2 linked regions of the Canis lupus familiaris genome follow. The protein of the gene in region 1 purifies or fractionates together with the protein of each later gene. This does not show direct contact. Links are inferred from orthologs where the notes say so. Each region holds a gene or a part of one and is shown on either strand. Other genes may lie near its edges.

What was found. The genes of interacting proteins can lie anywhere in the genome.
Region 2: the proteins of CD9 (region 1) and ITGA6 purify together in Homo sapiens (co-immunoprecipitation; 3 studies listed by BioGRID and IntAct, with this or other methods). This does not show direct contact. The link is inferred for Canis lupus familiaris from reciprocal best matches to the Homo sapiens genes CD9 and ITGA6.

The regions. Positions count from the first base shown.
Region 1 is NC_049248.1:7,316,693-7,320,978, reverse strand, and holds the start of CD9 (CD9 antigen), read right to left. Parts: upstream 2,864-4,286; 5' UTR 2,765-2,863; coding exon 2,699-2,764; intron 1,384-2,698; exon of another isoform or gene 1,277-1,383; intron 1-1,276. UniProt on the Homo sapiens protein: Integral membrane protein associated with integrins, which regulates different processes, such as sperm-egg fusion, platelet activation and aggregation, and cell adhesion.
Region 2 is NC_049257.1:17,166,707-17,170,354, reverse strand, and holds part of ITGA6 (integrin alpha-6), read right to left. Parts: intron 3,319-3,648; exon of another isoform or gene 3,288-3,318; coding exon 3,126-3,287; 3' UTR 1-3,125. UniProt on the Homo sapiens protein: Integrin alpha-6/beta-1 (ITGA6:ITGB1) is a receptor for laminin on platelets. Integrin alpha-6/beta-1 (ITGA6:ITGB1) is present in oocytes and is involved in sperm-egg fusion.

The sequences.
Region 1 (4,286 bases):
TAGAGTTGTGGGGATGTTGGATGAATAGACTGGTTGCTGGTCTGGCTGTGAGCATCAGAGGCCCTACTTGGGGAGGCCAGAGAGGGTAGGTTTAGCTGTCACCCAGGGTCCCATAGGGCTGAGGCCAGGGCTGGGGCAGAGGTATACCATCTTTCCATCCTGATCATCCCACTACCACTGAGGTAGGCTTCTTCTCTCTGGGTCCTGCTAGGCCACCCATCTCAGCATCCTTTGTTCATGAGCCACTGGCCTCACAACTCCTGTTTTTCAAGGCCCACATCAGATCCCAAATGCCAAGTGTATAAATTCCTGGTCTTGGGAGAAAAAGGTAACTGGTGCCATCATAACAATCCAACCAGGTTCCCTTTAAAGATATTTTTGAGAGCTTGTTTCTACCCAGCTGACCATGGCAGCAGGCTAGGAGGGGAAGTACACTGGACTTTAAGCTAGTAAGACCTCCCTTCAAACTTCTGATGCTATCCTGCCACATGTCCCTGGATAAGTCACTTTACCTCTCTGGCGACTAGTTTCCTGGTCATCAGTACCATGGGGATAATGCTTCTAGCTCTGGCTTGTATCATGGGACTTGGAAAAGGCCTTTGCAGACTGTAAAACGCTGCACAAGTGGATCCTTATCTCCTTTATTCTATCATTTCTACAAGGACCTTGACACAGGACTACTGAACAATCGTTACTTCAGAAAAACGTAGCTTCCTTCCCCAACACCAGCCCATTACCAGGTCCCCTTGTTGATTTCATGATGTAGACCGAAGAGGGCGGGACTCAAGTGTGGTTCGGTCTCTGTGATTCTGGGCCCCTCTTTGGTTCTCCGTTTCCTCACTGTGGATACGAGGGGCGGACTGGATGATCACTAAAGTCATTCCTAATTCTGGACCCAAACATTTCCAGATTCAGTCATGTCCGTTTTAGATGACATAGCTGACCAGCAGCGCCTAGCCCAGGCAGGGGTAGCTTTGAGTATGGGTGGGGTGGTAGGCTGGAGACAATAAAAGACTGAGCAGACACCAGAGGAGCCCTGGAACTTCCCAACAGACTGTTGCCTGTGCCACAGGGCAGATGGGGGTGGAGGGTTGGGTATGAGGGCCTATGGGAGTCTGTGGTTCCTTCCCTGCCTGAAAGCCTGATGCAGCCTAGGCAGATAGATGAGGACGATGCAACAGACTGGTGGGTGAGATTGTGCTGGGGAGGAGAGAGGAAGAAGACTCCCCAAAGGACAGGAGTGGGGTGGGGCTTATCCGCCTTCTCACATTCTTTTCTGGTGCCAGAGGTTGGTGAGGGGAGGAAGCCAAGCCTGGGAGTGAGCTGGCTGGCTGGCTGCTTGTGGGAACACCAGGAGGAAAGAATGCCCACCGCTGAGGCAAGGTAGGGGTGGGTGGGTTCCTTAAAACAGGCCAAGTGTTGGGCAGGGGCACGTCTATGTGCCATCCTCACTAGAACATGTGTTGTGTATGGTGACTCTTGCAAGGGCAGGTCAGTCTCTTACTGGCAGCTCCTGAGAGAGAATTAAAATCTCAAGAGGTTTGCTCCGAGGTTCCTGGGGACCCCAGTGACCAGCGCCAGGGGAGCAAGGTACCGTATAGTTTTTGTTACAAGGCTCTGGTGGCATGCCCGTTTCTAGAGCCATCTCCCTGGTGGCATAGGGGCTGGGCTGCCATTCCAAACTCCCTGACTGCAGAGGAACAAACACTGTCCATCTGTGTGCAGGGGATGTGGCCCTCAGACTCAGGACACACAGGTCCCCTGTTCCTTGCTTCTTTCTGTCTCAGGGTGGTCTCTTAATCCCCCCAAGAGAAGGCGCCGAGGGGGCATCCCCTTTGGCACTGCCTCCATCAGACTTTGCATTTGCAGAGAGGGGTGAGCACGGCCAGCAGTGGGAGTCGGGCAGCTCCCGGCCTGGCCTGGCGTCCTCTCCTCCTCTCCGGGGGAACCGCCACTCTCCCAGGCCGCGCCTAGCCACTGGGTGGGCTGGCCTGGGGGTGTCCGCGAGGCGGGAGGGCCCGGGCTGCCAGGGGGCCGAGGGCACCTGATCTTCCCCCGGAAATGGAGAAACACAGGACTGAAAGCGCCAACGGGCAGCTGCCTCGCCTCTCCCCAACTCTGAGCTCTCTCCGCTTCAGATACTTATCGCCTTTGGGGGAAAAAAAAAAAAAATCCAGACAAGCTAGTCTTTCAGGTAGTTTCGAGGGAGTTCCGACTTTCCCACGGCGGCTCAGAACCCGGCCTGCAAGCACCTCCTCGACCGTCGAGGGGGTCCCCGACTCTCACTCAGGTCGGGGTCCCAGGCCTCGGTCCTGCAGACGTGCCATCAGCTCTGGGCTGAACCCTCCCCGCCAGCGCCCGCATCGCCCCCTCGCGGGACCCCACCAGGTCTCGAGCCGTCCTGCCCCCCCGCCCCCCGAGGGGCTCCGCTTCTCCCGCCGCCTTCCCCCGCCTGCACTCGGAGGGGCTGGGAGGCGAGGGGCAGCCGCGGGCCGCAGCGCAGAGCCTCAGCGAGACGGGGTCCGCGCCCCCCCCCGCCCCGCGCCCCCGCCCGCCCCGCCCCGCCCGGCCCGGCCCCGGGGAGGGCGCAGCTGCGGCCGCGGCGCCCCGTGTCCCCCGCTCGGCGTCCCCCGGCGCGGCCAGGTCCCCGACGGACAGGTGGCGCCGAGGAGCGCGCCGGCCGCTCGCCCTCACTCACCCAGAAGACGAAGTTAAAGCCGAAGAGCAGGTATTTGATGCACTTGGTGCCTCCTTTGACCGGCATGGCGCGGGCGGGCTGGCTGGGCCGGGCTGGCGTGGGACCGGGACGCGCGGCCGGGACGAGCGGCACCACACTCGGGGCCGAGGCGGCGGCGGCGGCGGCTGCGGGCGGGCCTCGGGGCTGCACTTTTAAAAAGTGCCCTCCTCGCTGCGCGCGCCCGCCGCGGTGCGCATGTGCCGCGGACCCCGCCCCCGGCCGGCCCGGCCCGGCCCCACCTGCCCCGCCCCGGCCCCCAGGCCGCTCCCGCCCGGCTTCCGGGGCTCCCGACTCCCGCCCGGCCCCCCCCCCCCCCCCCCGCCCCCCCCCCCCCCCCCCCCCCCCCCCCCCCCCCCCGCCGGCCCGACCCCTCCTCCCAGCCGCCCCGGGATCGCTCCGGGCTCCCCTCCCCCCGCCTTCACCTAAGAGCTCTGGGGCGCCTCGCCCTTCGGTGCGGGCCTTGCGGATTCTGGGCTTCCCGCCCGAGCCCCCCACGTTGGGAGCCCTCCCTCGGGGTCACTGGGGTCCAGTCCCCCCACTCAAGGCAGGCTGGCCGCGGGATGGGGACCCCGTGCTCCGAGCTGCCCGTGAAGGGACGCCGCCTGGCCTTGTCCCTCCCTGAGGCGGCTCCTTGCAAACTTGCTTGGCGGAGCCCACCCTTGCTCGCACGTCGTGCGGGGGAGCAGGAATCAGAAGCTGGCAGTCCAGGTGGGAAGAGGGGTTGGAGGCTTGTAGGAGTAATTTTTCAAATGTGATTACCCAACAGTAACAGGGCTGGGAGTGTCGGGTGGTCCTGGAGAGCTCCGGGGCCTTGGGGTGTGCGTGCCCGGAGGGGAGAGAGCGTTTGTAGCCGGGCTCCGGCTCCTGCTCTTGCCTCTACTCCACAGCACCCTCCCTCTTGCCCCTTGGCCTCCGATGCTGAGCTCTACACCTCTGGATGCTGAGTTCTGAGCTCGGCTCTCCTCAGCTCAACAACTTTCTGTAACTCCCCAGTGTTCAATGACCCAAGGCGAAACTGCCCATCTTGCATTCTGTCCTTTGTCTTGTGTCCGTGCCCAGCACCGCTCTACCTGGACCACGCCGCCCTCCTCAGCTCCCCGACTCTGACTCTGCGTGGCCTAGCCCTCGCTGTGGCATGTGGTGTGTGCCCTCTGGCTGCCTGGCCCTACCCTCTTCAGTTGTAGAAACTATGAGGCTCCTCAAACATTCCTTTCCTGTTTCTCACCAAAGGATGAAACGATTCCCTCTTCTTTTGAAGTCCCCAAGCCCCTTTGTATCTTTTTTTTTTCAAAATGAAGTTTCCTTTACAAAAGCAAGAAACATCAGAAAATACCAAGAAGCAAAAAAAGAACATAACTCAAATTTCACCCACCAGAAATGGAGGGTGTCGCACTTTGTGGCTCTTATATTAATGCTTATGACCACTCTCGGTTGTCTCATTGATTCATTCAAAAACATTGTTCAGCATCTGTTCATAAGGGGCATCATTAGGGGCAGGAGCTGGGTGTCCACTGGTGGAGGGATTCAGGCAGCCAGACAATGGGAGAGA
Region 2 (3,648 bases), on another chromosome or scaffold:
TTACTTTATGCTCCCCCTCCTGATTACGATTTTCATACATTCCTGGTTTCTCGGCCATCAGGTTGTACTTCCGTGGAACCCAGCCACCTGGAGCAGTTCACTCTTCTTCCTTTAAAACAAAATCCCAGTCCATCTTCCCACGTTGTCTTTTCATGAGTTAGTGTACCAGATATCAGTTCTTATTAAGTGGTGTTCATTTAGGGTAGAACACTTGATCTTACCCTTACATCTGTTCCATATTCCAGAACAGCCTCAACCCCAAGGGGATGACCCATTGTGAGACTGTGGCAAGTGACCCGTAACCAGCAACAAAATGTTAATGTTTGTCAGTGGATCCAAGGGTATTCCTGTTTATCTACTACTGTCACTCCTAGGATTTTTTAAAGAGAAAGGAGTAGAATCCTATAAAACAGTGCCATGATATCCAGCGCAGGTCATTTATGCTCTAGCCAAACCACAGCTGCTGACACTTATAATGACGATTCCACACCAATCATTAATCTGGGTAGGTCCATGGGACTGTGAATAAAGGTTCATAGCCACTGGTCTGTCATTTAAAAGTACCCCTCAGATTTCTTTGGGTGGTAAAACCTGTCTTGTCTTCAAAGAACGAAGACGACTAAAATTCACTATGTGATACCAAGTACAGTAGAAAACTATTATTTGACAGATAATGCATTTTTTGCCTTGGAAATTTATTCAAGGCCATGGCATGCTATATTATCTGAGCACTACATAGATGCCTTATTTTCATTTATTAGATTGTGATAATCCAACTCGAGAAGGTTCATAAAATTGCTTTCATGAAGAAAATATTTTCAGGCCAGTCAGCTCTGCCAAAGCAATCCTTGGTGATGAGTAATGGCACAGCCGAACTGCTCTCACATCCAAAACATCTAAGAAGAAAGCAACTTTGCCATAAGAACTCTTACTCTTCACACCATGGTATCATTATTTGTAGGTATCTTGAATAAAACCATCTTGTAAGATTTTTCTTTTTTTATGATCTCAACTGAACAGTAGAGCCCAAAGGAAGAAAGAAAACCTTCAATCACATAAAAAATATAAAAAACTTGAGTTTGGTTGGCTCCATGAAATAAGAAAGCAATTCAGGTTATTTATAATTTGAGAGCTTGTGTTACTAAGCAATAAACACTTTCATAAAAAAATTTATTTCACACTTTTATACAAATATCCACAGGTATTTTCTAATCATGAAATAATTTTACAGTGCTAGTTAGTATTAAAATGTATCAAATGCAAACAGACCAGTGACTTGACTTGAGATGACGCTTTTAAAAATAAACACCACTACATTCTTTGTTGTTGAACCACCCTTCCTTCCCTTTTAGGATATTCTTTTTTCTTTTTTTTTTTTTTTATAACAAAGGTCCATAGACACTTTCAAAATATCAGCTGCTTGGCAACCTATAAAGCCAGTGCATTTGGTTACAAGTTACCTAAGCAAGGATTTGCTTCAAAGGATTTGCTTCAAAGATTTCAAAGGCTAGTATGACCTGTTTTGGAGAAATTTTTGTAAACAAAGTATCAATTGTAAAAATATCTTTGTGAATGAAAATTCCAAAGTTCAAGGAGAATAATGTCCTTACTATCTTAAGGGCATATGATTTCTGAAAAGAAAAAAGCTCCAAAGCAACAGTGACACACAAATACAGTTGTATTTTGTTCTTCTGAAAGATTTGAGATGCTGCTTATACTAGATCCAAATTAGCACCTGTTTGCTATTATTTCCCATATAACTTAACATTTTTTAAAATTCAGATTACCTACCCAATCTCTGTTGAATGTATAGAAATGTTTTCCTCCTCTGCTACTTCATTTTTATAATTAAAACCATACAGTTAGCACAGTCCCAAAGTAATTTTGGGGAATATAGATAAGGAAGGAAACAAAGCAAAAAAAACCCAACATTGACTCACTGATTAAATGATTCCAATAACATTTAAAAACATAAAAGCCATGATGTCCTGACTTTGGTATCAGATACTCAGTAGTCTCACACTGGATCGGTTTGGATCCACCATAGGCACCAACCCTTTCTTTCAAGTCCTGATGATACAGTATTTGCAGCAGGGCCTACGCTGCACCAAAGTTCAACAAACCCATTGTTTCCAAGCATTCTTGAAAGTTACAGCACAAAAATGCAGGAGGTCACACAGGGCTCTACCCTCAGAAATATCCGGTCTGATATAATTAAACATCTTATGGTTAAATCCTATTTCTTAATAGACTTTCACTTAAACCCAAAGTTTGGGTCTGGAGGAAAGGGATGACGGCTATCATGAAGGGAGATATAATAACTTATAAAGGATTAGCTTTATTTTTTTTTTTTTGCACTAAATTCAAACCAATGACCTCCCATGTTCTAATTCTGATTGTTTAATCCAACTGGGAGGGTAAACGGGAGACTCTTTGGCCTGTCAGTGACAAAATGGTTTGTAAAAAAGAAAAAATAAATACGATATACAAGTAAGTATAACTAGCATTCAAGTCTTTTGCACCTATGTGTTTCAGTGAACAGAGAAGTGAAACCTGTATGTTATCTGGTGTGATGAGTACTCACACATCTAGGAAATGGGGAAAGATGGCAGGATGGCAACGTCACCTATTGCACATTTAACTTAAGATAGCACTTCGAACTGAAATACAACTACGGCGACGGCAGTGTCCGGTGATGCGGGACAGTTAGCTTGCAGGCTCTCCAGTCCTACGGGAAGGATGGGTGCGGAGACCGTGCCCTGGGTGGGGGGTGGGGGGACCACTCGGGCAGCGACTGGGTGCCTCCTTCACTTCAGCTACGCTGGGCAGGCCCTTCCCGCACAGGGAGGTCAGCTACACCGAGAACAAAGGCAACCCCAGAAAGTCAAATTAAGGCAGGTAAAGAAAACTCCATTCCAACAGTCTTAAATTTGGTTGTGCAAACCCGGAGCCTCGGGCTACAGGACAAGATCCACAGTGAAAGCTAAGTTCGTACTGTGCGTCATCTTGTCTGAAATGAACATTCAGGTACAGAGCAGGCTCTTGGGTCCACTGAGACTTCTGAGCTGGCGAGGGAAAAGCAGTTGGGTACTGTGAAGCTTTTTTTTTTTTTTTTTTGGCCCCTTTTAAGAGTAGCTTTCATTTTCATTCCAACTTGTGATCCACTGTTTTTTTTCAAGGTTATCATTGTATTTTTCATCTTTGATCTCCCGCTCTTCCTTCCGGATCCTCACAGCATGGTATCGGGGAACGCTATCATCGTACCTAGAGCGTTTAAAGAATCCGCACTGACGGAGGGGAGAGAGAAGTAGAAACAAAGTAAGTATTGCAAGAGAAGCAAGTGCACAAACTGGCAATGTCTAAGCTTTCTGTTCAGCTACACCTACCTTTGCATGTAGGGGAAAAAAAAAAAAAAAGGTTTCTTTTAAGAAGGAACTAGTAGGTTGAAAAGACCTAACAGCCAGTGGGGATAAACAGAAGACAGCTGTAAAACTAGAAGAAAAGTCTGTTTTTCCATCTTCTCTTTATATTTAGTAACCGTGTAGTCTGTTTTTCCATCTTGTCTTTATATTTAATAATCGTGTAGTAAGTCACCTCTGTACCAACAATTTCAGAGTTCTGGAACAGTGCTTTCGTTTTTTATAATCA